Saccharomyces cerevisiae S288C: one gene and its partners. The gene in region 3 interacts genetically with the main gene of each other region. Each region holds a gene or a part of one and is shown on either strand. Other genes may lie near its edges. The genes, in order: HST3, SMT3, SAE2 and SDD1.

The links.
Region 1: mutations in SAE2 (region 3) and HST3 together harm fitness more than expected from each alone (negative genetic interaction), as found in Saccharomyces cerevisiae (5 studies listed by BioGRID).
Region 2: mutations in SAE2 (region 3) and SMT3 together harm fitness more than expected from each alone (negative genetic interaction), as found in Saccharomyces cerevisiae (3 studies listed by BioGRID, with this or other methods).
Region 4: mutations in SAE2 (region 3) and SDD1 together harm fitness more than expected from each alone (negative genetic interaction), as found in Saccharomyces cerevisiae (one large-scale study listed by BioGRID).

What each region holds. Positions count from the first base shown.
Region 1 is NC_001147.6:371,426-380,062, reverse strand, and holds HST3 (NAD-dependent histone deacetylase HST3), read right to left. Parts: upstream 1,845-8,637; coding exon 501-1,844; downstream 1-500. Other genes in the region: BUB3 (Bub3p), read right to left, coding at 1-282; AHC1 (Ahc1p), read left to right, coding at 2,351-4,051; DDL1 (putative carboxylic ester hydrolase), read left to right, coding at 4,206-6,353; protein-arginine N-methyltransferase SFM1, read left to right, coding at 6,624-7,265; MCO10 (Mco10p), read right to left, coding at 8,106-8,378. UniProt on the Saccharomyces cerevisiae protein: NAD-dependent histone deacetylase, which contributes together with HST4 to histone H3 'Lys-56' deacetylation, regulation of telomeric silencing, proper cell cycle progression, DNA damage control, DNA recombination, and genomic maintenance.
Region 2 is NC_001136.10:1,467,707-1,475,443, forward strand, and holds SMT3 (SUMO family protein SMT3), read left to right. Parts: upstream 1-1,693; coding exon 1,694-1,999; downstream 2,000-7,737. Other genes in the region: glutamine permease GNP1, read right to left, coding at 1-738; SDH7 (Sdh7p), read left to right, coding at 2,311-2,712; EMI1 (Emi1p), read right to left, coding at 2,794-3,357; dithiol glutaredoxin GRX2, read left to right, coding at 3,311-3,742; YDR514C (uncharacterized protein), read right to left, coding at 3,842-5,293; SLF1 (Slf1p), read left to right, coding at 5,723-7,066; EMI2 (putative glucokinase), read right to left, coding at 7,268-7,737. UniProt on the Saccharomyces cerevisiae protein: Not known; suppressor of MIF2 mutations.
Region 3 is NC_001139.9:167,547-175,889, forward strand, and holds SAE2 (ssDNA endodeoxyribonuclease SAE2), read right to left. Parts: upstream 6,777-8,343; coding exon 5,739-6,776; downstream 1-5,738. Other genes in the region: MPT5 (Mpt5p), read left to right, coding at 449-3,025; YGL176C (uncharacterized protein), read right to left, coding at 3,869-5,533; BUD13 (Bud13p), read left to right, coding at 6,999-7,799; chromatin-binding exonuclease XRN1, read right to left, coding at 7,981-8,343. UniProt on the Saccharomyces cerevisiae protein: Endonuclease that cooperates with the MRX complex in processing meiotic and mitotic double-strand breaks by allowing the endonucleolytic removal of SPO11 from the break sites and ensuring both resection and intrachromosomal association of the broken ends.
Region 4 is NC_001137.3:42,261-50,632, forward strand, and holds SDD1 (Sdd1p), read right to left. Parts: upstream 3,462-8,372; coding exon 2,760-3,461; downstream 1-2,759. Other genes in the region: SOM1 (Som1p), read right to left, coding at 140-364; HHY1 (Hhy1p), read left to right, coding at 392-700; phosphoacetylglucosamine mutase PCM1, read left to right, coding at 992-2,665; HAT2 (Hat2p), read left to right, coding at 4,908-6,113; POL5 (DNA-directed DNA polymerase), read right to left, coding at 6,211-8,372. UniProt on the Saccharomyces cerevisiae protein: Acts as an endogenous target of the ribosome quality control (RQC) pathway. During translation, the nascent chain has a propensity to stall ribosomes, thereby stimulating activation of the RQC pathway.

The DNA of each region.
Region 1 (8,637 bases), on a different chromosome or scaffold from region 3:
AGCTTGGAAGCTGGGACTACCTATCAAATCAACTTTTAGAATTTCACCCTGTACAGTTCCCACGTATATTTGCAGATCGGTATTGTCGATGAAATTGCAGCACAATAACGGATGTTTATATCGTAGCGATTGTAAAAGGTCAACATTCTTTGCTTGAATGTCGAATTTGTAGACTGTTAAAGAGCCATCCCAAGACGTAATCAAAAGCAGTGACTTGGAAGGGATTATTTTGATGTCGCTTATGTAGTCTTTTGGGGCCTGCTCAATTTGTACTATCTGCATGCCGCGACTGTTGTGTTTTCGTGTTGCAGATATCAGATAGCTTTTCTTTCGCGATGTGATATTTTTTTCGTTCACTATTTTTTGTATTCTCGGACATGCAGATCTCCGTTGGTATATGTATGAGTATATAAATGGAAGATAAATTAAACGGATGATATATTATGCAAAGGGGTGTCTGCCTCGATTATTTATCGTTAACTCAATTTTAATAGTTAAGTTTATGAGGCTTGGTTGTCACCGAAAGTTGGTCGTATCTTAGCGCGTTTTCTTGTATCCAAGTTTTCCTCTTCGTCTTCCTCACTGGAGTTTTCTGGTGACAGTATTTTTCTCTTAACTGTGTTTAACGACTTTATTTTTGTATTCAATTCGTTGTTTCCTTGAATATCAATCCCCTGGGCAGTTCGTAGAGGGGTTGTTGGGGGGGTTCCGATTGAGTCTTTTTGGGCCTTCATTTGCTTTCTCAAGTCGCTCGCCTCCCTTTTTAACTGTCTTAACTTCTTAATTTGATCTTGCGTCTTGAAGAAATCTGGTATTTGGGATTCAAGAAATGTGACCCAATTATCACAATCTGAGTGGATTTGGTAGTCTATAATGCCGTGCCAAGAGGATTCGCCAATGGGTGTCTTGTTTACGAGAATGATCAGGCCGCCACGATCGTGAATTTTCTTACTTAATTTTTTTACCAGTTGTTTCACACCATCAACTTTCAAACTTGTACCCATGATGATCAAAAAATCAGGATTGCCTTTAATTATGTCAAGATTTAGGCCTTGCGTAATAATTTCACAGGATGGATGGTTTTCACCATACAGGACGATATTAGGTCTTAGAATACCCACATTAGAACCAAGAGTTCGCTTTCCTTCATTCAATCTCTTGTTGATAAGTGCTTCGCAATCCGGACACAATGGTAACTCACCTCTTCTTAGACAACGAGACCAGTACCTGCTCCAGGGAAAAGTCTGGAAGCACTTTGTACACGAAAGAGTTTTCAGGTCGCCGTGCAACTGAACGACATCCAGATTTTTCCAATGTGAACTAAATGAGGTAAGCGGTAATTTCCTATTTGATAAAGTAAGTCCTATGCTTTCTTCGAGCCCATCGATGTTTTGCGTGTAACAGCGCAGCAGTTTGTTCCTATCTTTTAGATGCGCAATGAACTTGTGCGTCTTAGTCGGCTTTGCCAATTGAACATTTGAATAGAGCCTCTCCATAAATTTAGCAAAAATGGATATTTTGAAGTCATCTCTAAATAGCGAAATATCAAACATTTCCCTGCCGGACTTGATAGACCAATACTGTGAACAATCCTTTTTCACTAGGTCGTAGAGCCCATCAGAAGAGCGAAAGTCAGGAATGCCCGCGTTGCACGAAATGCCTGCCCCAGTCAGACAAGCAATTCTCCTAGATCTGCTCAACTGCTTGGTTACGCGCCGGAGAACTTCATCGTCGGCATCAAGACCTATAATATGTGCCAGTTTCTCAGTCTGCAAAGAGGACGGTAAGTCGGAGCACATTGAGCCCGATCGACTGGCAGGTGGCGAGGGCGATACTGAAGTCATTTTTGAGAAAGATGGATCTAGTTGTATGTAAATTAATCCCTTCAGTTTTTACACCACTAACCACGTATTTGCCCTTGCTTGTGTTATATATAAGACGTACGCCAGATATAGTTCTCTGGCACGAATAACATTGCTTGCTTTTATTGACGTTTTACCCTTTGTGGTAACAGCAAACATAAACGTCGTTCGTGATGTTGAGTTACTTATTGTTACCCGCAATTGAGGGATACCCGCCACAGAAACACATGCAGTGCATTTGCCACTGTGCATAGCCGTAGGAAGAGGGAAAAACGAACAGGGAAGAAGCAGGAAGAGCAGACAGCAAGAACCCGTGCTAAGGAAGGTGATGAACTTTGGCCACTGAAGGCGCATTTTACCTCTGAAGGATCCCGTTTCCACATTTGTAAGCTAGTGTTCGTTCATATAAACACCCTGATCTTCGGCATTTCACTACTCTTCGGGCTCACGCTTCTCATCCAACACTTTGTGTATATGTCCATCTCCTCATGATGAGTCCCGCCCAAGATAAACTGCAGCACCAGCATCATAATCCTAATTCTTCCTCATCGTCATCCTCTAAGATGACGAACGTTTATCAGGTTACCACGCCAAAGTCTCCTCAGGATTTGGAAAACAACATGGATGAGCCCTTCAAAATGGACACCGCCACCAGTAATCCGGACAAGGATAGCGAAAATACCCAGCGGTTGAAGTACGAATGTGCCAAAGGGGAAATACAGAATGTTTTGAACCTACATATAATGCTAAACCACAAGCATGTTAGGCACTTACGAAGAAATGTTCAAAAGGTTAACGCAAAACTAGCTCTCTTGGAAACCCTGCATAAGGATACTGGTCTATTGAACAAAATCGAACGGACGTATCAACTCAAAATAAAACAACATCAGCAGCATAGCGTGCTCGGCGGCCACTTTCACGACAGTACGGCTACGGAAAATACGAACGCATCAAATTATAACCTGTCATACCCGGTTCTATCGGATTATAACATCAACTGTCAGCCTTTGTCTTCGAGCAGCAACAGAAATCTGTCAACAACACGCATACCACACCACCATTATCATACTAGAAGCAAGAGTAACGGGCTTTTGCTAGAACCTTCTGCCCTCCGTCCGGCAAATTCGAATATAATTGATTACAGGCTAACAGGTTCTAAATCTCTATCAGAAGCCATAACCAAGCCCACTCCCGTCTCGCTTCCTCACTCTAATTCGGATGGCATTTCTTCACCTCGTTCCTCCTCAATCTCCCCCTTAGACGAGCAGCCGGGGTTCCAGATACTCCCTTTTAAACCAAGTCAGATGCATCTTAACCACAGACGTAATTACAGTAGCACTTGTTTGACGAGCAATAGCGGTATCATCGGTAAGACTGAAAATAATGAGCCCATTTTTAGAAGATATGACGGCATTTTGGTTATAATTACGTGCTCCAAATGTGACCGTTCCGGTTTCACTTCCGCGCAAGGTATCGTGAACCATACTCGACTAAAACATTCTAAACTATATTCAAGCCAACCATTGGCAGTTTTAAACAACCAAAAACTACTTCCTAATGATAAGCAGGATCCGGAAATTTTATCTAAGTTCAAGAAACTAAATTTGGACCCAAACAAAGACTACCTACCCTCTGACATTGCAATCCCAAAACCACAATCACCAATCAACCACTCCGAGAACCATACGCGGGCTCCAAAGACTGTCAAGAACACTCCTCATTTAGAAAAACTATACCAAAATAAAGAAGACTTCAAAAAACTGATTGACATGGTTAATGAAACTCCGGATGATTTGAATGAATATTTGAAGCAACGTGAAATTCAATTAAGATATCAAAAGGAGCAAGAAGAGGAATCTTCCAAATCTGATGACGAAGCTTCTTACGTCCCATCACCGTCTCTCTCAGCAACGGCTACAACAACAACGACTACGGACCCACCCTCTCCGCCAGTGCTATCCTCCTCCTTACAAAGAAAATTGCTGCGTAAGAGAAAACTGAGCTTGAATAGCTCTACTCCCATGGAAGATTTACCTTTAAGAGAAAGGTTGAGAGCAAATCCCACTGACAAGAAACCAAGAAAAGCGGCCCTTTTGACTAATGAACTTGAGGGTCCTGATCCTGCAGCAAAATCATCATCTTATTACAATCTAAGGTCGAAATCAAGACTGCGTGGTTCTCATACATAGTACACACATATAAATAAGTAAATTACGTAATATAATATTCTGTTGGTTTTCTGACCTAATTTGTCGCTTTGGAAGAAAAAGTGGATTGTATTTTTTTGCATATTCCCTAATATTGAAGATCACTGAATATACTCACAGTGAACAATTACTTGAAATGCTACGGTTTACTCATCGAGGCCTTCCCTCCAGCACTCGTTTTAGAAACATTTTCGTAAGGTTAAATCACATTTATGTACCATGGTTCTATGCCATAGACGTACCCAACTCCAAACCCTATTTACCCACATATCAAACTTTACACTCACCCAAAAAGTTTAAGCCGTTCTCCGTTGATGATTCTAATCGTTTGGAAAAGGCCAGTAAGCGTCAAGAACGCAGGCCTGTTTTAGTCAACGAAGATTACCTGTTTAAAGTCGACCTCTCTCACATGGAATTGTCCCCTACCTATTGGGAAGGCCCTACTTATCAAGTACGAAGAGGTGTGTGGTTCGACTCTTCAAATCAACCTTTGTCCAGTGATCTTACCTCCGAAATTGAAGGGTTGTATAAGCAGCTCAAATTCGACGACAGTAATGATGATCCGACCACGACACCTCCTGCAGAATCGCAAGATATATTTAGGCTCAAAGGTAAATACCCAGTCGATAAAGAAAACGAAGGAGAGCAAAAAAATGGATCCAGCAATAAAGATGAGAACGAATCTACTTTCAAGTTTATTTTGTTTGCCAATAAACAAACTGCATTTTTACTATCGGATTTAGATGGAGGAAAACTGCAATTAGCCTTTCTAAGGTCTAATCTGGCTCAATCCTTACCGATTAATGCTACAATGATTACAAGATCATACAAATATTCATCCTCCGCAACTACTAAACAGACATCCACATCTTTTAAGGCAGCAAAAACGCCTCAAACGGAAGTAGCAGATGGTAGTAACAGTTCCAAATCGAGGAGCATTGAAACAAAGTTAGAAAAGAAAGTTTCAAACCTCTTCAATTTATCGGACTTTTTACAGTTGTTCAATGGTAATGCTAGTAAAGATCAAGATGATGCACAGAGCTTGGAAAAGCAAATGGAAACAGACTATAACAATGCAGATAACAGTCAAGGCGCTAATGCTAGTAGCAAAATAGAAGATGGCAAAAATTCGGGCGCAAGCGATAGACAAATTAGAAGTAACAGAAGAGATGTGGATAACTTGATACTATGCGTTCACGGTATAGGTCAGACTTTGGGTAAGAAGTACGAATACGTAAATTTCGCACACACGGTAAATCTACTTAGGTCTAATATGAAAAAAATCTACAATAATTCTGAGAAACTACAATCATTAAACACAGCACCTGATTATAAAAGCAACTGTAACGTTCAAGTGCTACCCATCACCTGGAGGCACTCGATAAGTTTCCAAACGGATGCTAAGGAGGAAAATATAGAAAATCCTGACCTACCGACTTTGTCACAAGTCACAGTAAATGGAGTGTTACCCTTGAGGAAGCTACTGGCTGACGGTCTACTAGATATTTTGTTGTATGTCGAACCATACTACCAAGATATGATTCTACAACAAGTAACCTCTCAATTGAACAAAACATATCGGATTTTTAAAGAATTTAATCCAGAGTTTGATGGGAAAGTCCATTTAGTGGGCCATTCGTTGGGTAGTATGATATTATTTGATATTCTATCCAAACAAAAAAAATATGAATTAGAATTTCAAGTAGACAACCTGTTCTTTATTGGCTCACCAATTGGATTGTTAAAGTTAATTCAAAGAACAAAAATTGGTGACCGTCCCGAATTTCCCAATGACTTGGAGAGAAAATTAACCGTACAGAGACCGCAATGTAAGGACATTTATAATGTTTACCACGTCTGTGATCCCATTTCTTATAGGATGGAACCTCTTGTTAGTAAAGAAATGGCTCATTACGAACAAACTTATTTACCACATTGTAGTGAAGCTTATGGACTAACTTCTAAAGTTTTGGAATTTGGCGAAAACATATGGAAAGATTTGCCAGGTACTGATGAAAATAATTTGCAGTCCAAAAAAACTTCTCCAGAAAAAAAAGAGGTCAAGTTATCAGAAAATCTTACGAGAATGCTTACAGGTTTGAATTACACCGGACGTCTAGATTATGCTATGTCTCCAAGTCTGCTAGAAGTGGATTTTATATCAGCTATAAAATCACATGTTTCTTATTTCGAAGAACCGGATATTGCAGCGTTTATCCTAAAAGAAATTTTAAGTAAACATGAAAATGCATCAGAAATATATGTAAAAAGAAAGACTGGTTGATCAGTAAACGCAAGGCACAAGTTTTTTTTAACTTTTTTCTTTACTGTCTATTATAGTTCCACTGTGTAAGGTTGTATTCTTTCCGTACTTCAACTTGCGGGTAACAGGATTGACACCTTTTCAATTTTTTCCGTTATTTTGGATTAGAAATTTTCGGTAAGCTCATCGAGTATTGTAAAAGAGCAATGCCCTTTGCTTATTAGATGTTGAGGGGCATATCTATTGTTAATATAGATTGATACAGCTGTGGAGATTATTTCTAGATATACGATGAAGTACATTATTGAGCATATGGAGGAAGGGTTTAGTGAATGGGTCATTTTAGAGTATAGCCAAATCCTGAGAGAAGTAGGAGCTGAAAACTTGATTTTATCATCGTTACCAGAGAGTACCACGGAAAAGGACATCCCTCAAAGGCTACTAAAACTTGGTTTAAGATGGACTACAAAGGATTTGAAGGGCATTAACGAAGATTTCAAGGATTTGGAACTGTTAAAAGATGGCAGAGTCTGTCTATTGGACCCTAGGGCTACAATCGATTTACAGCCGGAGGATGCTACGAAATTCGACTATTTCGTATTTGGTGGCATATTGGGTGATCATCCTCCAAGAGATCGTACCAAAGAACTAAAGACTGCCTATCCGAATCTTTTAATTAGCAGAAGACTAGGTGATAAACAAATGACTACGGATACTGCCATAAGAACAACACAGTTGATTATCAAAGACAGGATTGCATTTGAAGACATCAAGTTCATTGACTACCCTGAATTTAGGTTCAATAAAAATGAGGCCACGGAAATGCCATTTAGATACGTTTTAGATAAAGAAGGTAAACCTATTTTGCCTGAAGGGATGTTGGATTTGATCAAGAAGGATTCTGCTCAAAGTTTGGACGATCTGTTGATGTAGATGAGAACAGTCCTTTAAGTAACATTCTATGGTTGTAATAAGTGATGATGCTTCCTTGTCAAAGAGTTAGTTGAAAAGTTTAGGGTCGTAGCATTAATTATATTGTATATAGTTCAAAAACGACATTCAATGAAAAAATCAAGTTTATTAGCCAATGAATATTTCGTATTTTGCGTTAGTAGCGCTACCAAGACTTCTGAAAAGTGCATGCAAGAAAAATAAAAACAAGGAACCGTTTACTTTTATGATATCATCATTGTCAGGCCAAATAGGATAAAATTGATTGGTTGTATTATGCTTTTTAATTGAAAAAAAAAGTAGAAACTTTTATTATTTTATTTAAATTAATTTCTTTACATTACTTGCATCTAAAACCAAACGAGCTGGTGACTTCAAGCACTGCACTAGTTGCCATGGCTTTGCTAATTCAGACGACCCCCTTGAGGTGAAAAAATAGTCTCAGTAATGAAACAATCATAGGCAATTAGTTCGATTTTTTATAATTATCTTCCAGCCTTTCAAATATTGAAAGGCCATCAACTATCACTTACACCTGAGTGTTGTCATTGATCCGTAAAGTAAAAAGAGGCAAGTTTTGTGCATATTCGTATCATGCACAATGGCCTAAGGCAAGTATTTTCAGTGTTTTTTTTTTTTCATTGCCGTTTTGCTATTCAGAATATATTGAATTATATGTATAATGCATACTTAATAGAAAGAAGGACGCTAATTTTCGTTATAGAACAGTAGTTTCAAAAAGTGCTTCAAGTTTATAGAAATCAGTGCATCCCTTCACTGAACGATGAAGAACACCACCATTTCAGAAATTTTTATACATAATCAGTTGGCTTTCGTATCCTGCCTCGTATCTTTCTCTAAATCATTTAAAAATCCTTCAATACTCTTTACGACATCATCGTCCTTTCCCATAGCATCTGAGTTTGAACTTTCACCGCTTTTTTGTTGGCTCAAGGCAGAACTATTCTTGCCTTCATTTTTGGTTTTTGGTTTCGTGGTAAAGTAAGATGCCACTGCAGCAGTAGCGATAAACGTAGATATAGCCAATACGTGAGGTTGAACCGTCTTCCCAAATACTTTGTATGCAGCACCCATTGAGATAGCTATATTTATTTTTGTATATCTTATGTTTAGAAACAGTAGCGACCTTTCTTACTTGTTCCTTCAAAACTTGACTTAGATAACTATTTACCCTTAAACCGTTAGCTCTGTATTATGGACTGTGAAATTACACCTCGTTACCCGAAGTTCTATTATATTTTCAATCCATACTCCTATGATCTCTTCATTGGGAAAAAAAGGTCCACTTTCTCCTGGATTGCTCGAAGGCTTTCCGTAAAGAAAATACCTTTTA
Region 2 (7,737 bases), on a different chromosome or scaffold from region 3:
TTCTAGAGGACAAACACATAGCCATTGTAAGCAAAAAAGCCAAGCAACAGAAAAGCCAAGTGCAGGGTCGACCAAAAACAAAGGATATGTATTAAATCCACCAATCAAATCACTGTATATAACCGCTAATTCACCACAAGCTTGAATAATACAGTAAACACAACTACCCATAATAGCATAACCAATGATCAAACCACCCGGACCTGCATTGTTCAAAACTTTGGAGTTACCGACCAGCAAACCAGTACCAATACCAGTCCCTAGGGACATCATCACCGTATGACGGGGCTTTATACTCTTTTTCAAATTTTCTTGTTTCTGTTCTTGTTCTTGTGGTGACTGTTTAATACCATCAACAGTGATGTATGAGCTCTTCCGATTCAACTCATTGTCCAATTGAGAGCTGGAATCTTTTGTGGATATAGGAGTAGTCCCATTAGAGTTGCTCGAGTCTGGGGAATTTGCATGCGAGCCTTCCGCTCTTCTAAACGAGTCAATGAACCTCCGTAAGTAAGATGCATGATGTTCACCTTCATATTCCATATTTTCAATGGTTTTTTCCACTGTTTTTTCAAAATATTCTACTTCATTTTCCGGTTCTATAGAGCCAATTTGTTTTTCCTTTGGTTGTATTTCCTTCATCTCGTAATGGGAAACATCGTCAAGGTCGTTACGATTCATATTCATATTAGAGCTTCCCTCATTATTCCGCCCATGGCGTCTATTACCAAGCGTCATAATGTGCAATATTTGATATTATATAAGCTACTTGAGAAAGCGATAGTTTTTTTTTCTTACACAAAAAAAAAAAAACATAAAGCACCTATAACTCTCAACTTTGAAGAAGCACGAAAGGAATATGTTTAAATCAACAGAAATGTGAAAAAAATCGGTTATATATACAGAATCCGATTCTTTCTAACATCAAAGAGGTGGGGGAAGAAGGGACTCAAAAAAGAAACGACACTGCACAACCCGAGCCAAACTGACATACGAACACTAAAACCGATTTCCGAAAAAAACTTCAAATTTACATTTCATTGTCCGTCTGCCATCGCATCATCGCCTTCATCTCTAAGAGTTGCCGTGCCTTTCCATCCGCTTTCTTTTCATGCGGCGTTATTCTTTTTTCCTATTTTTGATGGTCCCTGTGCCGTTTCTTTTTCATGTTCACCGGTTTTTGGCGCCGCATACCGTACGGCGGGGCACTTTTGAAACGTTTTTGTGCATCCTGATGCCGTTTTCAAGGATCGCAAGCACGTCGCATAATACGGTAATGCCGAATTAAGGCTACGTCGTCATAGTAGGTTAGTCATGCGCGTTGGAAAAAGAAATGACCAACGCGTTGATTACGTAGTCCCCAAGGAATAATGCTTTTGAAAGTGAAAAAAAAAAATAAAACTGAAAAAAGCCATGCTGTTTCCATCACGTGCATGTCACGTTTTTGCCGCCGAACTCTTTGATCATGTGATATGAATATGTTGGGTTACCCAGCTTTGCCAACACGCGCCGTCGGAAGGTGTTCAGGAAGCAGGAAAAGAGCAAAACACCAACAATCAAACAAACGAACACATTCTACTCTTTTAGTTGATTTTTCTTACCTTTTCCAAGCTCCCGTTTCTTGTTACCACCTGTAGCATATAGGACAGAAGGACCCAGTTCAGTTCTAGTTTTACAAATAAATACACGAGCGATGTCGGACTCAGAAGTCAATCAAGAAGCTAAGCCAGAGGTCAAGCCAGAAGTCAAGCCTGAGACTCACATCAATTTAAAGGTGTCCGATGGATCTTCAGAGATCTTCTTCAAGATCAAAAAGACCACTCCTTTAAGAAGGCTGATGGAAGCGTTCGCTAAAAGACAGGGTAAGGAAATGGACTCCTTAAGATTCTTGTACGACGGTATTAGAATTCAAGCTGATCAGACCCCTGAAGATTTGGACATGGAGGATAACGATATTATTGAGGCTCACAGAGAACAGATTGGTGGTGCTACGTATTAGGACTCTTAACAATGCCTAAAAAACGCCAACAAACCTCTCCCTTCCCCCCACCCACCAAAAAATACCATAGTAATGAAAAAACTAAATAATTCATATTATATAACATAGTATTAATATATGTTCGACAAGAATAGTTTTGTCCACGCCTCTTTCCCAGCTGATGCGGAGGAAGTGCTTTTCGCCATGTTATTAACCAGTACGCTAGCTTTTGTTCTTAATTAAAGAAAAAAAACTATCTCCGTTAAATGAGCAAGTATTAAAGAAGCATTCTTTCACGACGTGCCACAGAGAACTTCCCGTCTTCATTCACCATGAACAACAAGCTCATATATCGTTCGGTTAGATTTGCAACCCATAACAGCCAGCTTTTACTTCCACCTTTGGTTCTCTACAGAAGGATACTAAGGCAGCATAAGCTGCTACCTGGTCCCCAAAGGGAGATGGGTGACCAATACGTGCGAAACGAGTTCAAGTTGCACAAAGATATCGATAACCCGTTGCATATAGTCGGCTTTTTAGCTTCCTGGCAAGATTATCTCCACATGATTTCCAACGGTAAATGGAAAGATGCCACTTTATCTTCGGAAACCCTGGAGAAACTATCCCCTGAGCAAACAGTTCAACTGTATGAATTGATGAAGGAAACACAGAAACTTCACCAAGACAATGAAATAGAATCAAGTAAGGACGTGAAGCGGAACAACAAGGATTAGTGTTCGTCTTTTTATTGCGCTTGTAAATAAGAAATCCATATACTATATAGTACACATGCTAAAAAAAAAAAGCTAAAAATCTCACTTATTTGCAGTGGTCTCCCTCTCCTGCCATATAACCCCACTGGTATTTTCCAATGCCTTATTGTTGGAAACCTGATCTTTATACCATTCCTGCACTTTCACAGGGTCATTGCCGTGGATAATACAAAACTTGAATTTGGACACCTGCTTGTCACATGATGTAAAATCTCCATATCTGTAATAGCTTCTAAATTGCCCTCCAATCGAATAGCAACTCGTCAGTTGATCAAATGCCTCTCGGCAACTCATCGTTGTCGGATATTTTGTACTCATCCTTTCCTGTTTCTTCCTCAAGCTGCTCTCTTTTACCCTAATAGAACCATCGCCTCCCTCTTGATTTATGCTAATACCACATCCAATAGCAGAACTATTACTAAGATCCGATATTTCGGCCCCCTTCGCAAAGGGGCCCGCCGCACTTTCTTCATGAATTTTCATATAAAAAGTCCCAGGACGCCAAGAAAAGGTGCCCTCTTGATTAACGGACACTCCAACTACTGTTATATATTGTTTCATGGAGACCAATTTTTCCTTCGACTCGAATTTAATTGTTATTATCATTATCACGTTGTTTGCCACAAGAATTATTGCTAAAAGATTTTTATCTACTCCAAAAATGGTATCCCAGGAAACAGTTGCTCACGTAAAGGATCTGATTGGCCAAAAGGAAGTGTTTGTTGCAGCAAAGACATACTGCCCTTACTGTAAAGCTACTTTGTCTACCCTCTTCCAAGAATTGAACGTTCCCAAATCCAAGGCCCTTGTGTTGGAATTAGATGAAATGAGCAATGGCTCAGAGATTCAAGACGCTTTAGAAGAAATCTCGGGCCAAAAAACTGTACCTAACGTATACATCAATGGCAAGCACATTGGTGGTAACAGCGATTTGGAAACTTTGAAGAAAAATGGCAAGTTAGCTGAAATATTGAAGCCGGTATTTCAATAGTTTAAATTACGCTAATATCCCCTTCATAATATTTACATATATATATCTTTTATTATCTATATCTTAAATCACATATACCTACAAAACTTCTAGCTAGATTCACACAAGAGTACTTTTGAAGGCTGCGCGTGCATTTTGAAACCAATGAGACCCGCTAAATTCCGTCTGAGGTACAAGATCCCTCGGCTTCTTTCTTCCCTTATCATCAACTTTCGGTTTGCTATTATTGGCATTCATCACACTTAGCACGTACGACATTGGCAAAATTTTGGGTTCGTCCGCCTCACGCTTAAACCATTCTCTTATCCTATATCCCATTGTTTCTAAATCATCTGCCCCAATTTGCTTTCTAAAGTTATAATCTCCTAACTTCAGCATCAGGAGCAACGTGTAATATGCATCATTGCCTGCGTTATGTAAGAAGGCATGTGGCAAGTGAAAAAGCCTTAGTAGTTTACCTAAACTGCTACCCTTCTTGCCATAACACATGCTATAAATTTTCTCTGTGTCAAGCATCTTAACATGTTTTCTAACACCTTTGCTCTCCGTTGAGTCCTCCGGTTTGGTAAGTTCATTATCCAATTCAGGTACATGGACCCCAATTTTCTTCAGCCACTTAATATCCCCCGCTATAGCATGACCCACAAACGCTCTTTCCCAGGTTGTATCTTGGTCCGTCTCACATTTCATATAGAAATTAATCAACGACTGAATGAACTCTACACATTGTTCCAATGGTAATACAAGACTTTCTCCAAGTAAAAAGCAGTCTTTAAAGTCGCATACGAATTTCTTGTTTCTTAACGGTAACGCTTCAGCAACAATTAAATGATAACTTCTTATAATCGGCATCAAGGAATAAATGTTTTCTCTTGGATCATATATGGCGATGCCAATCTCTGTAACAATGTCTGTATCAAATTCAAATGCCTCTACATCGATGGCAAAACAAATTGTCTTGTTGGATGATAATAACTCAATAGTTTTACAGAGATACTTGAACTGAGACCCACCAGGTTCACAATTCATCACAGGTATATGTTCGTTTTTTACGTCCTGTACATCTGCTAAATATTGCTTTCTTAGATTTTTCTCCACATCGTCTTTAGATGCATCAGGTATACACCCGTTTTTCTCTATCCATTTCTTGTCAATTTCTTCCAGCTTCTTATCCAGTAATTCTGAACTTTTCTCATAGATGGACCGATAGTTTGTTTCCAATGCCTTTAAATATTTTTGGATTTCACTACTTAACGCAATGTTAGGGGTATATGCAATTTCGTGCAGAGAATTAAAATGTTCAAACTCATTTATCCATGTCTTTTGTCTTCCTAGTTTATTCATCAACTTGCTACTTGAACTCTTATACAGTCCCACGCCCCCTCTTCTTGAAGGGACCATACCCCTAACTCTAGCTGCATTGCGGGTTGCCAGACTCCTGTTTAAACCTTGTGGTTGATGGTAATTGCGGACTGCTTTGGAGTTGAATCTATGCGTAACCATTTTGACTACCGCTTCGTATGCTTTCTTGCACTTTGTGGAGCTACTCATACAATAGCTTATAATCTGTGTAGTCAAACTATATACTAGGCAAATTACTAGTAAATGCAGTATTCATATGTCCTCAAACCGTTTTTTGCAGTATGTTATTGATCCATCGAATCAAAATTTTTCACCGCCAAGAGAAAAAAGATCTTACTATTTTGTGCTTATGAAAAAATTAGTAAAAGTAAAGCTGGAAGCACATACAAGCGCAGCTGAATCACAAAGGAAAATTGGCACATCCTTGGTTGACACTTGTCTATTTATTAAAAGGTTTTAAAAAGTAGTGTTCAGCAGTTCTATCATATTTTTTTATTTAAAAAAAAATACTGAGAGGAAGCGTATTGTTAAGACACAATTTAGGGTGGCGTTAAATAAACGAGAGAGCCCAAAAATATAACCAAGATAAAGAAAATCAATCATAAAGTGAATTCAAAAATGTCATCGCAAAACCTCAATGATAATCCAAAAAATACATCCTCAGCAGCTGAAGATAAGAAGAAACAAACTTCATCCTTAAAGTTGGCACCAATACCAACCACATCGCCATGGAAATCATCTTCGCCAGATAGCAATACAGTAATTCCTGTAGAGGAACTAAGAGATATATCAAAGACTGCAAAGCCAAGTAAAAATGGTTCGGGGTCAATTAAATTAACAAGCAATACCAAATGGACTCCAATTACGCCGTCTGTTATAATCTCAGGTTCCAAGGACACAAATTCAAAGTCAGGAAAGAACTCTAAAAATTCTAAGACTAATAAAAAAATGAAAAAGCGTGGCAAATATAATAACGATATCAATAAAAAGGACTTTAACGGTCAAACCAACAGTACATCGGAAATAAGTAACGTTTCCAATCTTGAATCCAAACCTTTAGATGCTAACGCTAAAGTAAACATACATTCAAGCTCAGGAGCAACTGCCAATGGGAATATAAAGAGGATAACAAACAACAACAATTCAACCAACGGTAGACAATCAAGAAATTATCAAAACAGGAATGGCAAAACAAGATACAACAACAATAGTAGACACAGTCAGGCGGCTAATAATGCCATCTCCTTCCCAAATAATTATCAGGCTAGACCTGAATATATTCCCAATGCCAGCCACTGGTTGAACAACAATTCAAGAAATAGCTATAAACAACTGTCATACTTCCGTCAACAGCAGTATTATAATAACATCAACTATCAACAACAATTGCAAACACCATATTATTACTCAATGGAACCTATTTTTAAATCTATCGAAAGTATCAAAAACCAAATTGAATTCTATTTTAGTGAAGAGAACTTGAAAACAGATGAATTTTTAAGATCTAAATTCAAAAAAGCCAATGACGGATTTATCCCCATGAGTTTGATAGGGAAATTTTACCGTATGGTTAATTTATCTCTTGGTGGAGACCCAAATTTAATTTTGGCATCTATGAGAGAAGTTTTACAACATAAAGAAACAAACCATTTGGAAATTGCCCTTGGAAGCATAGAAGGTGCTCAGAAGAACATGGCAGATGATTTCAATCCATTGGAAAACTATTTTATTAGGCGCGAAAATTGGGCTGAATACGCTATGGAAAGTAATTTTGATGAAAATGATGACGAAACTGAAAAATACAACATTGAGAAACTATTGGGACCGAACGATTTAGACAATTATTCTTATATGGGCTATCCAAACTTCTTTCCCAGTAATGAAAATGGGAAAAAGAGTCAGAGCTATGACCAAGGTGAAATTAGCAGGCAGTTTGAACAAAACTTACAAATAAATGATTAATTTTAGACAATATTTTTTTTTTTTTTTTTATTATGTATATAGTTAACATGTATAAAGTAATAGCAGATTCTCTCTAAAAATATAACATAACATTTCATTTCAATTCGTACTAAATAATTTTTTATATAACAGATACATAAGATATTTATATAGAGGAAAACGAAAACAAACTAAAAATAAGCTGTTAAGAACAGATATGTTTTATGCCACCAGAGCACACAAAGCTGCGCCAACACCGGACCCATCTTTGGCTAGACGCAAATGTATCTTACGTTCACCCTCAGTGCCAATTGGACTTAATGCCAAAGCATGTCTCAGCATGGATCTGAATCCAGGATAGTATTCGATGACATAACCGTCAAAACCAATTTCTACCTCACCGTGATATCTTTTGTTCAAAGCGTTTGTCTTGATTAGGATGGCGGCAATCGGAACGGCTGCTAGATATGCAGACCTTCTCGTAATGGAACGGACCAGATTTTGAATTGCTTTACGTTCTTCAAAAGTGGTCGGTAGCCTCAAACTCTGCAAAAACGACAATTCAGTTTCACGCAAGTTTGTCGAATCATCGATTTCAATCCTGGAAAGAACTTCACTGCACAATTGGAAAGGAGTCTTTAAACGGTGAGGTAATTGATCGTAATTACGATACTGTCCCAAGATTAAGCCCC
Region 3 (8,343 bases):
TATTTCTCGAATATGCCTATAAGGATTTTCTCGAAAGAAGGGCTTCGGGAAAGAGGCGCCTCAGGCAAAAATGAGCAAAAAAAAAAAAAAAAAGAAAAGATTCGAAGATCTATGAAAAATTTATGCAGATTCGTTGAGAGTTATAAGGATTTTACTCTTTATGGTTATAGGTTTCATTCTAAAATCAAGCATAAATTTTGTGTTTTGTCTTCCTCTTTTCCTGTCCTCTTTTTTTGCCATCCTCTGTCGCCATTGAAGTCGAACTTTATAGATAGATTTACTCTTGATTCTCACGCATCTCAGGCCACCTGGACACTGTACATGGTTGTGATTGTTCTCTTTCTCAGTTATCGAAATTGATCCTAGGCTTATACTCCAAAATCGGCTCTGCACACGCCTTATTTTTGTGGTTTCACTTTACTAACACAACATTCTTTTATTCAATCAGATCAATAACGAACCATTTCCATCTGCCGACTCAGCATCGATTTTAACTACGTCTACATCAAATAACTCCTTAATGTCTTACAATCATCAGCCTCAACTATCTATTAACTCCGTCCAATCACTCTTGGAGCCCGTGACCCCTCCGCCTTTGGGCCAGATGAATAACAAAAGAAACCATCAAAAGGCTCATTCGCTTGATCTCTCTGGTTTTAATCAGTTCATATCATCGACACAATCTCCCTTGGCTTTGATGAATAATACATCAACATCGAATTCTGCTAACTCTTTTTCCCCGAATCCTAATGCTGCTAGCAACTCCACTGGGCTTTCAGCCTCAATGGCAAATCCTCCAGCCATTCTACCATTAATCAATGAGTTTGATCTGGAAATGGATGGTCCCAGGAGAAAATCAAGCCACGATTTCACGGTTGTTGCTCCTTCGAACTCTGGTGTCAATACCTCCAGTTTAATTATGGAAACACCATCCTCTTCAGTGACTCCTGCTGCATCTCTCAGAAATTTTAGCAATAGTAATAATGCTGCTTCCAAATGTGGAGTGGATAATTCGTCATTTGGTTTGAGTAGCTCAACGTCTTCATCTATGGTCGAAATCAGCGCACTACCCCTTAGAGATCTGGATTATATCAAACTTGCCACTGACCAGTTTGGCTGCCGTTTTCTTCAAAAAAAATTAGAAACCCCCAGTGAATCCAATATGGTGAGAGACTTGATGTATGAACAAATTAAGCCATTTTTCTTGGACCTTATTTTGGATCCGTTCGGTAACTATTTGGTTCAAAAACTATGCGATTATTTAACTGCCGAGCAAAAGACATTATTAATACAAACAATATATCCAAATGTTTTCCAAATATCAATCAATCAGTACGGAACTCGTTCCTTACAGAAAATTATAGACACTGTCGATAACGAAGTTCAAATCGATCTCATTATTAAGGGATTTTCCCAAGAATTTACTTCGATTGAGCAAGTGGTTACTTTGATAAACGATCTTAATGGTAACCATGTGATTCAAAAGTGTATTTTCAAATTCTCGCCATCAAAATTTGGTTTCATCATAGATGCTATTGTAGAACAAAATAATATCATTACCATTTCTACCCATAAACATGGTTGTTGCGTACTACAAAAATTACTAAGCGTTTGTACTCTACAACAAATTTTCAAAATTTCTGTGAAAATTGTGCAGTTCCTTCCTGGATTAATCAACGATCAGTTCGGTAATTATATCATCCAATTTCTGTTAGATATCAAAGAATTGGACTTTTACTTATTGGCTGAGTTATTTAACCGTTTATCCAATGAATTATGTCAACTATCTTGTTTGAAGTTCTCCTCAAATGTTGTGGAAAAATTCATTAAAAAATTATTTAGAATCATTACTGGATTTATTGTTAATAACAATGGGGGTGCCTCCCAAAGGACTGCAGTTGCTTCTGATGACGTGATTAATGCTTCTATGAACATTCTTTTGACTACCATTGATATATTCACAGTCAATTTAAATGTGCTAATCAGGGATAATTTTGGTAATTATGCGTTACAAACGCTATTAGACGTTAAGAATTATTCTCCTCTGCTTGCTTACAACAAAAATAGTAACGCAATTGGGCAAAACAGCTCTAGTACATTGAATTACGGTAACTTTTGTAACGATTTTTCATTGAAAATTGGTAACTTGATTGTCCTTACAAAAGAATTACTTCCAAGTATTAAAACTACATCCTATGCAAAGAAAATTAAGTTGAAAGTTAAAGCTTATGCAGAAGCCACAGGTATACCATTCACTGACATATCTCCTCAAGTCACTGCAATGAGTCATAACAATCTTCAAACGATTAACAACGAAAATAAGAACCCCCATAACAAAAATAGTCATAATCATAATCATAATCATAATCATAACCATGCTCACAATAATAATAACAATAATAATCAAAAGAGTCATACCCGTCATTTTTCTTTACCAGCTAATGCTTACCATAGAAGAAGTAACAGCTCTGTAACCAATAATTTCTCAAACCAATATGCACAAGATCAGAAAATTCACTCTCCGCAACAAATTATGAACTTCAACCAAAACGCATATCCCTCGATGGGAGCACCTTCTTTCAATTCTCAAACTAACCCACCATTGGTAAGCCATAACTCGTTACAAAACTTCGACAACCGCCAGTTTGCAAATTTAATGGCACATCCTAATTCTGCTGCACCAATCCATTCGTTCTCATCATCTAACATTACCAATGTGAATCCTAATGTTTCAAGGGGATTTAAGCAGCCTGGATTTATGATGAATGAAACCGACAAAATTAATGCTAATCACTTCTCGCCATACTCTAATGCAAATAGTCAAAACTTCAATGAATCTTTTGTGCCTCGTATGCAATATCAAACGGAAGGTGCAAACTGGGATTCAAGTTTGTCAATGAAGTCGCAGCATATTGGTCAAGGCCCATATAATCAAGTTAATATGAGCCGCAACGCTAGTATTTCCAATATGCCTGCCATGAATACCGCTAGAACATCTGATGAACTTCAATTCACTTTGCCATAATACTTTTTTTTCTTTCTTTTTCTTTCCTTCTTACTGTACAAATATTTTACGCAGAAATCAAAGACAAAAGAAAAATAAAAAATAAAAAATAAAAAATTCAACTAAGCAATGACGTCCTACTAAAGTCCCAAAATTTGAGCCGGAAAAAAATGGTAAAGCAAACTATTGCCATCTTTATATTTTGTATTCTGTTTCCGAACACGTATCCAAAATCCTCCCACTGCCTTTGCAGGGTTAGCATTGCTCCCTACCAAAATGATCTAATTTTTTTTTGAATCGTTTTTTGTCAACGATTATTTTTGTTTTAAATTCCTCATCTTCTGAACTTACGCCCAACTATTATTTAATTCATTCATTCATTAAGCAATCCATACGTCCATTCATTCATTCAGTTTTCTTTTTGTCTATTACTGTCATTTTATTTTCAAATCCAATTGTCCTTTAGGACACTAATGTGTTAAAATATCCATTCGCTCAAGCATTTTTAATAAATAGGAAAATACCGTTTGTTTTTCTTTGTCATTTGTATAAATTTTTCTACTGGTTCCTGTCTTGGTTGGCTTTATTATATTTAGGTTTAACTTGTACTAACAATGATACATATTTGTATATTTTATTATAATATCATATCTAACTATATCTAAAATCGTTGAACTATTCAGAATGGAATTGTACACCAAGAAGAATTATGCTATAACACCATAAGGTCATTACATTTGGGTTTTGACTGCTAATTAGTTCGAAGTCGGCGTTAAAATTTAAAGAATATTTATACATATGAATATGTATATGAATGCAAAGTATGCTAAAATATTTATAAAGCAAAAATCTCGGTGGGCTAAACTAGGTCAAAGCAGATGTTATGAAGATATTGGCCCCATTGTAGGGATCATCTTCTCTCCGAATTAAGATGCATATTTTTTGAGAAAGTGCTTCTTCAGGTATATCGTAAGGTGAAGTACTGCTCTCTTCACCTAGAGGTTCCACAGCATCAAACGGATTTACGTACCTTGGGGGTATGAAAGCCGAATGTAGGTGGATAGATTCAAACTGGAAGTTTTCTAACCTACAGTAGTTCTTCATACCTCCTATTGGATAGAGGGTGATATTTCCACCTTCGGATTTTTCGTAGTCAAGATTTCCAGATAAAGTGGTACAAAATACTTCAAAATCACCCTTTCCGTCCCTAGCGCTAGTTGAACCATAAATGAAGTAGCGCCCGTCATCCGATATCTCGAGTATTTCTGTATCCTTAGTCACGTTTAAGAACTTAGTTTTAAAAGATACAACCGGGATTTCGGTCAGAATGTCCTCCAGGAACGTATCTGCTATAACCAGTTGTTGCACATTCTCTTTGTCTGCCATTCCAGATATAAGTATTAGGCCTTTATTATTCAATGCTTTTATGGAAACAACAGATTTTAGGGAATTTCTGATAGGTTGATTTCGACTTTCTGATGTCATACCGTTGGTCTTGGAGTACTGTAATGTCATGTTTGTAATATTAGTGAAGACTATTGCCATTGAATCACCATTTCTGTAACCTAAATAAAACACACCGGTGTTCGTTTTTTTTAAAGGTGATAAAGCATCTTCTTGTAGACAAAATGATAGGGAAGTAATGTCACTCCTACTTTTGTGTTTTCTTGAGCTTTTGGCAGGAGAAAAGATATAGGGATTTGGAAAGGTTTCTGGAATCAAATCATAAAAATGACAACGATAATTTACGGTAATAATCAACGTGTCTCCAACAACAAGAGAATCATGGACTTGGCAATTTTCTTTGAGTTTGACCTGACGAATTTTGAGCAGTTTTAAGGAAGAAAAGTCTTGTAAAAAGATGGCAAAAGTATGCACGTTAGATCTGGTATTAACGTTGTGATAAAAATAATGGCTCGGCCCTTCCTTGATGGCAACTGTTCTCTCAAGTTTCATTGTTTTGAACACATCAGTTGGCTCGGACTTATATTTCAACATAGGATTTAATTCAGCCATGGAAAACCCCGTAAAGAAATTTTCTTCAGAAAAATTATCCAGGGATGAAAATCCTGCGACATAGCCCTTGTTTGTTGCAAATACTAATTTACTATGAAAACATCCTTCTTGAGTTACCAATAAAATACAATTTGCTAATACTCCTATCTGTATCCTGTGTGGAAAATTGAGTGATTTTACGTTAGCAGAACTATGTGAGTGATGACCTTCAGTGAGAGAATGCGATGCATACTGCATATTTAAACCAATCATGTACTTTTCATATGATAAAGGGCGAAAAGCCCTTTCCAACGGATTCAGAAGACTAAGCTTGTACTTTTGTAATGTTTGCTGACGTTTTTTTTTAATCATAGAAAATTTTTTATCGTAATTTTCCTCAACACATTGTCGCTTTATATTATCTTTTCTGTACTGGTTCGTCGTTCCCGTGGTAGAAATGCTTTGATTTTCAGATATGCGAAAATAACGTCGACGTTCTCTATCATAATAAAACCCTGGTAAGTTAGGTGTCATTTGTTTAACGTCCGTTAACTTCCCCTTTCTGCTTTACCAACTGCTGCTTATTTATTCGCCCTTTTTTGTTTTCCATTGTTGTTCATCTCATTGCCTTTTTTTATTTTTCAGTTTTTCCCATATGCCAACGAGGAAAAAAGCCCTTTCAACCATACCAAAAAAAATGTATTTGAAGTAATGAATAAAGAATGATGATCGCTGGCGTTTAACATCTAGCATATATCTGCAATAATTTATCACTCCAGAAGAAACATCCATCGTCAACAATTTGATTTAATTGTTCTCTTTTGAATACATATTCTCTCTCGTACGGTGGGATCTTGTTATTGCTTGCCATTAAAAACCTATATTTTGTCTTTCTTCTGATGATTTCCTGGGATTTCTTTTTGTCCTCGTTCCCTTCCTGAGTGGAGGGAAAATCCAGTCTTCCAAAACCTGGGGGGGATTTTGATCTATTCCTCAAGTTATCAAACGCAAATTCGTAGTCCGAATTTTGCGATTCTATAACTACTGACAATGATCTGTGTTTAGAATCCTCTGGCTTTCCAACTTGGGCATAAAATCGCTCCAATTTTCTTCTTCCTCTCTTAACCGGGGCGATATCTTCATTTGGTCTAAAGTCTTCGAGAATCCAGGCTCGCTTTGTTAAAGGGTTCGTATTGAAGTCAAACAGGAAATTATCCTTAACATTTTTGTATAAATTTGGCGATGTAGATTCAGGGTTCTCGAGCTCTATTCCCAATAGTTTTCTTGTTTTGTTCTCTTTATCATTATCTTTTTCGTGGATTACAGTATCAGAGCAATCTTCCAAATCGCTTAAGTTGTTGAGGCCATTTAAAGGCGAACTAAACTCCGAAATTTTCCGTTTATGCCTATTAGGTGGCATAGTAACCAGCGGTAACTGCACAGTGTGTTTATTTTCATTACGATAGTGAACCTCTGCTGATTCTTTCTTTATGTCCTCATCAAACTGAGTAAGGATGAAATCTTCAGAATCTTGCTCACCTGGCCCCGCAGACGTCTGAGAGGATTGTTGAGGAGCATTTTTTTCGTGACATAGAATTTCAGCCAGTTTACTGTTAGGTTCTTCGAGAACACATTTATTCCGATTTTGCAGTGCTTGAACACGTTTCGCGATTAAGGTAGTCACGTCATACTGCACATTTAGTAGTTCATCGAGACTGAGCTCCTTGAGAATGGATAAGCTTGACTTTAGATACACATTTTCTTCACCAGTCACCATCTCACATACAAACACCTAATGGCTTACAGCATGGATGGAAATGCAGGTATGTGAACGATAACAATGTTTGCAAACGTAAACAAAAAAGGTATTAAAGCTTAAAAGCTTTTTTTTTGTAGAACGCGCTTAGAAAATGGCATAAAGAAAATGGCTATTTGACTTGATTTTGAAAGTTGTTCTCAAGACTCGAATGGTGGAAGATAACAACAGGACGTTTATTACATGGCATTGCATCAGTATTTATCAGAGACTTATGGGCCCACGAAACCCAAAAATAAGACGAAAAAGAAGAAGAAAGAGTCAAAATCAGACGCTAACTCAGACAAAACTTCTTTGATAGTAAAAGAACGGCTAAGTACACTGCAACAAGAACAGGAGAAGTCAGGAGTTGCTTCATTCAGCAAGTTTGACAAACAAAAAAGCAAGAATATATGGAAGAACCTGGAAACAAACGAGCTTTCCCATGCAATAACACATCCTTCCGCATCGTCAATTACTGGCAACGAAAGCAAGAACGATCTAAAGGAAATCAGGGCTCAAGAGCCACTTGTCACAGTAGCAGACAAATCGAAAACACGAAAAACCATATACAGAGACGCTCAAGGTCACAAGATTCAGGAAGATTCCAAGATAGACGATTCTAGTTTTAGTCGATCTAAATATGAAGATGAGAAAGCCGCGGAAAGAGAGCAATACCTGAAAAATTTGAATATGGGAGACGTGCAAAAGCTTGGAATAAATGTAGATGCACATGATAAGAAGAAAAATCAAACTGCCTCGAGTCTGACGATAGAAGACCCTGCAATAACATTTACACATGACAAAGAAAGAACTGTAAAAACATCTTTACTGGGCCGCAAGCTTTATGATAAGCCAGCACCTGAGAACAGGTTTGCCATTATGCCTGGGTCAAGATGGGACGGTGTCCACAGATCAAATGGCTTTGAAGAAAAATGGTTTGCTAAGCAAAATGAGATCAATGAGAAGAAAGTGCAAAGCTACACCCTACAGGAGGATTATTGAAAATGAGATAATATATAACTATGCGGAAAGCTTTGTGTAAAAAATACCCTTTGACAATCCCCATTTGTTATAAGCTTTTTCTTAACAAGATCAACGATTAAATACAAATACCCCTCTTTATATAGGTCTCAGATATACTATTAAAGTAACCTCGAATATACTTCGTTTTTAGTCGTATGTTCTAAGTAGATTCGTCTTTTTTATTATCACGGTCAGCAGCATTGCTTTGTGACTTTGGCGATTGACATTCAGTAGAGTTTGTGCCAGAAGAAGGTTTAATCTCGCCTTTCCTACTGTTCTTTGTTTCTCCCCCAATAGTTGAACCATTGCTGTGCTGTTTACCATTAATGAATTTTTTCAAATCTTGGCTTTCCTTTTCATTGACAACAATACGACTTCCTTGATCTGAAACATTTGTCATAGGAGGTGGAGGTGGGAAGGAAATCGGTTGTCCAAACCCATGTGGTGCTGGTGGCGGAATAGACATTCCATTCATATTAGGGTAAGGCATCTGGTGAGGGTGTAATGGGTGAAGACCATTAGG
Region 4 (8,372 bases), on a different chromosome or scaffold from region 3:
CCTCGTTTTTTCTCCTCCCGGGACCCCGGGCATAAGTGCATAGTAGGCACAGACCTGATCTGTCGGGTGCAGTTTAAAAAAGTCTTGGCAAAATTTTTTATTTATCACACTACTGTGCTATATAGAGTATATGTAATTTTTAACTATTGGTATATGTGTCCGTGACCTCGTAGTTAGTGGCTGATTTGTCGGGTGCAATGCAGTGTTCAAAAAGCCTCTTAAAAGGCGAGCAGACGTATTCGGCTCCTTTGAATTGGCACTCCCATTGCACAAGCTCTTTCAGCCGGCAGTTGGTTTGTGAGTCAAGCGTTGCTAACGGTGCGAGCGCTTGGTCCCTAGTGCGGATGGTGGTTGGAGGCGCCATGAGGGTTGATTGTCTTATCTGCGATAGATGAGTCTTTCTTTCCTTCTCTTTTCCCCTTTTCTCCCCCCCTGTTTCTCGTCCATCTCTATCTGTCTATCTGTCTTATCTACTGTTAGTTTTTTTTTCGCTTTCACGATACCGCATTACGTACTGCGCTGCGGAAGTGTGGATGAGTGGCATATACACTCTTCTGCAGAGGATTTTCGTACACAACGGTGTGTGTGTGCTGTGAAGCTGTCTGCTTCCTTACTTGGCTGTTTGCTTGCTTGTGCGTCATGGTCACTTTTGTTAGAAGTGAGCCGCATAAAATGGCATGTCGGCACAGCCTACAGTTAAAAATTAAGCATATCTGACTGTTTATCTGTTTATCTGTTTATACACGGTGAACTGTCACGAGAACCCTTACTTGCACGATTAGCAGATTGTTCAGAGAGCCTCGCTCGTTGAAGTTCTTCTATATGCCAGCGTGTTTCATGTAGCAGGAAACGTTGCTCTATTTATATCTTTTCTGACATTTTGCGTCGTCGGGAAAAAAAAGATTAAGTAAGAACAAAAAACCGTTAATGGTTTCAGCAATCGAGACAAGTACAAGGACCAAGGCAAAGGTCAGCAGTAAGCTTAGAGACGATGAAGGTTGATTACGAGCAATTGTGCAAACTCTACGATGACACGTGCCGCACAAAGAATGTGCAGTTCAGTTACGGTACGGCCGGATTCAGAACGCTGGCCAAGAATTTGGATACGGTGATGTTCAGTACTGGTATACTGGCGGTTCTCAGGTCGCTGAAGCTTCAGGGTCAGTATGTGGGGGTGATGATCACGGCGTCGCACAACCCATACCAGGACAACGGGGTCAAGATCGTGGAACCAGACGGATCGATGCTTTTGGCCACATGGGAGCCATATGCCATGCAGTTGGCCAATGCGGCCTCTTTTGCCACTAATTTTGAAGAATTTCGTGTTGAGTTGGCCAAGCTGATTGAACACGAAAAGATTGATTTGAATACAACCGTCGTGCCTCACATCGTGGTTGGGAGAGACTCTAGGGAAAGTAGTCCATACTTGCTGCGCTGCTTGACTTCCTCCATGGCCAGCGTCTTCCACGCGCAAGTTTTGGACCTAGGCTGTGTCACTACGCCTCAATTGCATTACATTACTGATTTGTCCAACAGGCGGAAACTGGAAGGAGACACAGCGCCAGTTGCCACAGAACAGGACTACTATTCGTTCTTTATAGGAGCCTTCAACGAGCTCTTCGCCACGTATCAGCTGGAGAAGAGGCTGTCTGTCCCAAAATTGTTCATAGACACAGCCAATGGTATCGGTGGTCCACAGTTGAAAAAACTACTGGCCTCCGAAGATTGGGACGTGCCAGCGGAGCAAGTTGAGGTAATCAACGACAGGTCCGATGTTCCAGAACTGTTGAATTTTGAATGCGGTGCGGATTATGTGAAGACTAACCAGAGATTACCCAAGGGTCTTTCTCCATCCTCGTTTGATTCGCTATATTGCTCCTTTGATGGTGACGCAGACAGGGTTGTGTTCTACTATGTCGACTCAGGATCAAAATTTCATTTGTTGGATGGTGACAAAATTTCCACTTTGTTTGCAAAGTTCTTGTCTAAACAACTAGAATTGGCACACCTAGAACATTCTTTGAAGATTGGTGTTGTGCAAACTGCCTATGCAAACGGCAGTTCCACCGCTTACATAAAAAATACGTTGCACTGTCCCGTGTCTTGCACTAAGACAGGTGTTAAACACTTGCATCATGAAGCTGCCACTCAGTACGATATTGGCATTTATTTCGAAGCAAATGGACATGGTACGATTATATTCAGCGAAAAATTTCATCGAACTATCAAATCTGAATTATCCAAGTCCAAGTTAAATGGTGATACGTTAGCTTTGAGAACTTTGAAGTGTTTCTCTGAATTGATTAATCAGACCGTGGGAGATGCTATTTCAGACATGCTTGCTGTCCTTGCTACTTTGGCGATTTTGAAAATGTCGCCAATGGATTGGGATGAAGAGTATACTGATTTGCCCAACAAGCTGGTTAAGTGCATCGTTCCTGATAGGTCAATTTTCCAAACCACGGACCAGGAAAGAAAATTGCTCAATCCAGTGGGGTTGCAAGACAAGATAGATCTTGTGGTAGCCAAGTATCCCATGGGAAGAAGCTTTGTCAGAGCCAGTGGTACGGAGGATGCGGTGAGGGTTTATGCGGAATGTAAGGACTCCTCTAAGTTAGGTCAATTTTGTGACGAAGTGGTGGAGCACGTTAAGGCATCTGCTTGAAAGCATTATTCGATGTATAGTATAGCTATTTAGATATACAGAGAGATAAATGAAAGAGAAAAAATATTGGTATCAATCAACGTTTGTTACAGGCTTAGACTTTGGTTTGGTAATTGAAATTCATGGTAGTGGAAATAAACAAAATTTTCCTCTTCAATTTTTTTCGTCGTTTCGCTCTGCAATCGAAAATCAAATAATCTTCATAAAAGAAATCACTTTCAATAAATGAACTTCTCACTACCATAATGGATGATGTGGCCGATTCGAAAGCAATACGGTTGATTAACACGGAAACCCCGAGTGATAAGTCACCAAAAAAAATTCTCTTTACGATGAATGTTCCGAATTTGTTCTCCTCTTTACAGTTTTCGTTGGAAAGGTATTTATATGTAATTTCCTTCAGAATTCTCTTGTTTTCTATGTTGGCATTGTCGAGATGAACCTGTTTCAGTATGGCATTGGGAAAAAGTGTAGCTTGTAACTTTAAAACTTGATCATGCAGTGTTGCAGCTAAATTATCCAGAGTAAAAATTTCCTCTTTGGAGTAAATGCCTAGCAAGTTTTTCAGCTGACTACTCCAACCTCGCCTGGCCCTGTGCTTTCTACTTACACAATCTTTGTGATTTGGTGGTAAGGTTTTTGGAAAATGAGGAAGAGTATCTAGTTGTTGGGTAATGTTTCTTTCCAAGAATGATATTTTTTTCATTATGACGTCAATTTCTTTAGAATAAGCCGAGAACTGTACAGTTTTAAAACCCTTTCTGTTGTCATTCCTCTGAATCCCATCATTTGCCATTTAATTTTCAATTTAGTTACTAGTCAATTTTCTTTTTCGCCTTTTGTATTCCATAATATGAATATAAGCTTGGGCTTGCCGATTTTCTCCGCTTAATATTAAGCCTACGCATGATGTAGGTTACATTTTGAAGGGTTTCTTTTAACTTCCTTACTTATTTATATATGTATGAACCTACACAAGGCATTTTACCCTTATTTCTTCCCGCAACATTTGATAAAAAGTGGAAGACGTTTGTGATTGTTATTATCGCCCCAATTTTCTCCTTTTTTTCTTTTCCTTCAACGTCAATCAATTGCACATTCAGCCGATTGGCTTTCTTAGCGCAGGATAGGGTGTCGGGGATACCTGTGGGAAGTTAGTGACACTTTTTTTTCCACTCTCTTCATGGAATCCCCGGACGGCAGCCGCCCGTCCCAATTTTGGCAAAATTGACATCCTAACTGCACGAATTCTCATCGCGTATCAGAACTCTTGAGCCTTCAGTTTTACTACTCAATGCTCTGATTTATCTATATATACATAAATGAAAATAATACGTGCGCATTTATAAGACAAAAAGTTAGAATTCTGACCACGATTGCATGCTGTAGATAATTGTCGTGTTCATTCTCTCTTTAACGGCGCCTCAAGAAGAATATAAAATAATTGCTCTTGCAGTCTCAATGAGTCGGTATGTTCAAAGTGGTGCCCAACATTTACTAATATTGGACTGCGGTACAAAATCGGCGGCTAAACTGTCTACCGATAAAATACTCTTGATTTATAAGAATGAAAAAGAAAACAAAAAGGGATGACCCCTGAAAAAGTTTGTTTTCTTTACCCTTTTTTATGTTAAATTTTACATTTATTACCGTTTACGTCAATCGCAATATACAGGTGGGGCATTGTTATTTGATTTCATAATCTGGTGAGAACGTTATCACGCGGATTATTTAGTTTTTTTAAACCATGTGCGAAGAAATTCTCATATATTGTAGGCATTTCTGACTCAAACTTCTGCTGCTTAAAATAGCTGTTTTCACCTTTTTTTTCCTCTTGTTCTATTTGACATGCTCCCTTTCTTCCTCGGTCCTTTCAACCATTTCCATGCTCCTGTAGGCTCAGGAGCAGAGCGAGGAAAAAACTTCCCTACAGAAAGCTTTCATGTTTTTAACCGGTTTCCTTTCAGCTTTTTCTTTTGGAGTAATCTAGAAAGATTAGGTCATTTGTTCAGTCTATTTGATACTTGATGAGTAGCTCGTCTGTTCTGTTCAAAATAACAATTTGTGAGGTGTACGGATGTTTTCACTGGCATTCGTCGACATGACAAAGACAAACCTTGAAAATAATAATGGAGAATAACTAGAAAGACGTTACTATGCCTCTAATACTTCTGCCTCTCTTATCTCTCCTATCAATTGTGGTTAGCCTAGTAGTCACCAAATAGCAAATTACCAATCAACTATGGAAAACCAAGAGAAACCGCTTTCTGTAGACGAGGAGTACGATTTATGGAAATCCAATGTTCCATTAATGTATGACTTTGTTAGCGAGACACGTTTAACATGGCCATCTTTAACCGTCCAATGGCTCCCTACTCCTGTTCAAGAATTAGATGGTGGCTTTATTAAACAAGAATTAATCATCGGTACGCACACTTCTGGTGAAGAAGAAAACTATTTGAAATTCGCAGAAATTAATCTACCAAAGGAAATTCTTAGTAATGAAGACCCACAAGAAGAAGCAGGAGAGGAGTATCAGTCCTCTCTACCTGCTCCTAGGTCAAATATAAGGATTACCGCTAAATATGAGCACGAAGAAGAAATCACTAGAGCCCGATATATGCCTCAAGACCCTAATATTGTCGCCACAATAAATGGGCAAGGCACAGTTTTCCTCTATTCTCGCTCAGAAGGTCTTCAGTCAACACTAAAATTTCATAAGGATAACGGTTATGCTTTATCATTTAGCACTTTGGTCAAAGGGCGATTGCTTTCCGGCTCAGATGATCATACAGTCGCTCTCTGGGAAGTGGGGAGTGGCGGTGACCCTACAAAACCAGTACGAACTTGGAATGATTTACATTCTGATATTATTAATGATAATAAATGGCACAACTTCAATAAAGATCTATTCGGCACTGTTTCAGAAGATTCTCTCTTAAAAATAAATGACGTCAGGGCAAACAATACTACGATCGATACTGTGAAATGCCCGCAACCTTTCAACACATTAGCATTTAGTCATCATTCCTCAAACCTCCTTGCGGCCGCAGGTATGGACTCGTATGTTTATCTATATGATCTAAGAAACATGAAGGAACCATTACACCATATGTCGGGTCATGAAGATGCAGTGAACAATTTGGAATTTTCAACCCATGTTGACGGTGTAGTTGTATCCAGCGGGTCAGACAATAGATTGATGATGTGGGATTTGAAACAAATTGGAGCAGAACAAACACCTGATGACGCGGAAGACGGCGTTCCTGAATTGATCATGGTCCACGCAGGTCACAGAAGTTCAGTGAATGATTTTGATTTGAACCCTCAAATACCTTGGTTGGTAGCAAGTGCTGAAGAAGAAAATATTTTACAAGTTTGGAAGTGTTCCCATAGTCTACCCATCGTGGGAGGTCCACCAAAGGTGAACAAGGATATAATAAGCTAATATATAGTTTTTTTATTGTTTCTTTGGCGAAAAGGCGTAATTAAACAAAGATCAACATACATAATCCGATTTTGAGGAGTGATAAAATATACTTAGATTATTCCTTATCCATTACAGTTTGCTTTTTTGAAGATAGCCAATTGATGAAATCAATAAAAATGTTAGGTCCACATTTTCCTTTTTGCATCCACTCTTTGGTAGTTGCAGTATACAAGTCAATCAATTCGTCAAGCTTGTCGTTACCACCGATTTCAACGTATAACTTACTCAAAAACAGTGAGCTGGTTGAGCACATTGAATAAAACACTGCAGCATGCTGACCTGGCTTAGAAGTCAGCATCAGCTTGTGTGTTTTTTTCAACAAATCCATAAGCTCGATGTCTTTGTTCATGTCTTTGAATGCAGTTACTTTTATCTTGAATATTTTACCCTTCAACAATTTAGAAATTTTGTCGGCAAGTGGCCTATCAAGAGTTTCATTGACACATTTCAGCATTGGGATAATAAAATAAACGAGCTTGCTTAATGAGCCTCCTAAATTGTTGGAATGTTCACTTTTATTAGCAAGAGTCAATTTTTCACAATATTTGACGTAAACGGCTAACATGTCGACAACTCTATGCTTGAACGAGATAACGTTTTCCCTAGATTGTTTTACCTCAAATTTCCTCTGGTTTCCAGTAGATATGCTTGATAATGCTTCCTTACGACGTTTGAAAATTTCGGATAACTGATCATCTAATTCCATCATTTTTTCATCATCCATAGACTCCTCATCTTCATCGTCTCCACCGTCGTCAGAAAGCCCTTCGAGTTGGTCTAAGTCAACTTCCCCTTTATCATTAACTATGTTATCGGGTAAATTTAACGCCTTCACTAAGGCGCTAGTGGCCTCTTTATCAATATTCAAAATATCTTCATTTGCCTCGTCTTCTTCATCTTTTTCATCAGCATCATCGCTATCACTCTCACTTTCACTTTCACTTTCACTACCAGTTTTCGATTCGTCTTCACTGGCATCATTTTCTTCCTTAATTTCTTCAAATTCTTCTTCTCCTTCGAATAGCTGGGCAAAACCTTGCTTGTTTTCTCTCGCTTTTAAAATATCTAATAAAATTTGCAATTCTTCCAAACCAACTTCTTCAATAAACTGCTGCCAGATTATTAAACTCAATTTCCTGAGTAAGGCCTTCTTTTGGGCTAAAAGTGATAGTAAGATTTCAGTGATGCCTACCATTGAGTTATTCTCGTGTTTGGAAAATTCGCAAAGTTCTTCGATCACAGAAATAGAATCGGTGTCACCTGCATATAATTGTACTAAGCACATAGATAACAACGTGCTTAGACCCCAAGATTGAGCAGTTCTTGATCTGCAAACTTTACTCAAGCAAGATATAGCTTCGTTTTTTATATTTTCTAAATTTTCGTCCAGTGGATTGATTAAATCTCCTACATGAGAATTTTCAATGTCCAGTATTAACTTTAATGTCAGATATTGCCATGAGTTTATTTCAGGATCTTTGCAACGTATTTCTTTGTTTATTGTCAACTCTCCCAGGATGGAATAAAGTCTTTCCTTGGCTAATTCGTGTAGCTGTTCTAACTTCAGATCATCTGATGTATGTTTGAAGAAAGCCATATATACGATGGGTCTCAACACGGGCTTCATTATGTCCATGTCATTGATTTCGACTTTGTGTGCACGAACTATATGAAGGATGGAATCAAGAGCAAAAAGGGTATGAGATAAAACTCCCTTTTTATCTTGTAACTGTAGAAAAAACACATCGAGTAATTGGGCAAGAACAGTAGAAGGTAATTCTTTAATTGCAATAAGTTTGGAAACGGTGCCAGATTTTGTTAACTTATCAAAGTTTATGGAACCGTGAGGACCAAATAACATTGCATTTAAACAAGGTACTAGTCTGTTTGCAGAATCTTCTTCACAAGCCTTCACTATGGAGTCTAAAGTTAACTGGGAAATCTTATTTAAAACTCTTTGTGAATCTATTGATTGGTTGATCAATGTTCTCATAACGTTTTGGCTGAAGCAAAACCCGATGTACGAGCCAGGAACTGCCTTGAAAGCCGCGTCGATTATTAGAAAGCCTAAATATTTTCTTTCACTAGAAGCTTTCTCATTGAAAAATGATTCGTCCACGGCCATTTTCCAAAACTCTGGAAATTGAATTGAATTCTGAACCTTTTTATTGTTGGTTTTCTTCCTTTTCTTCGAAATATGACTAGTGTTCTCTAATT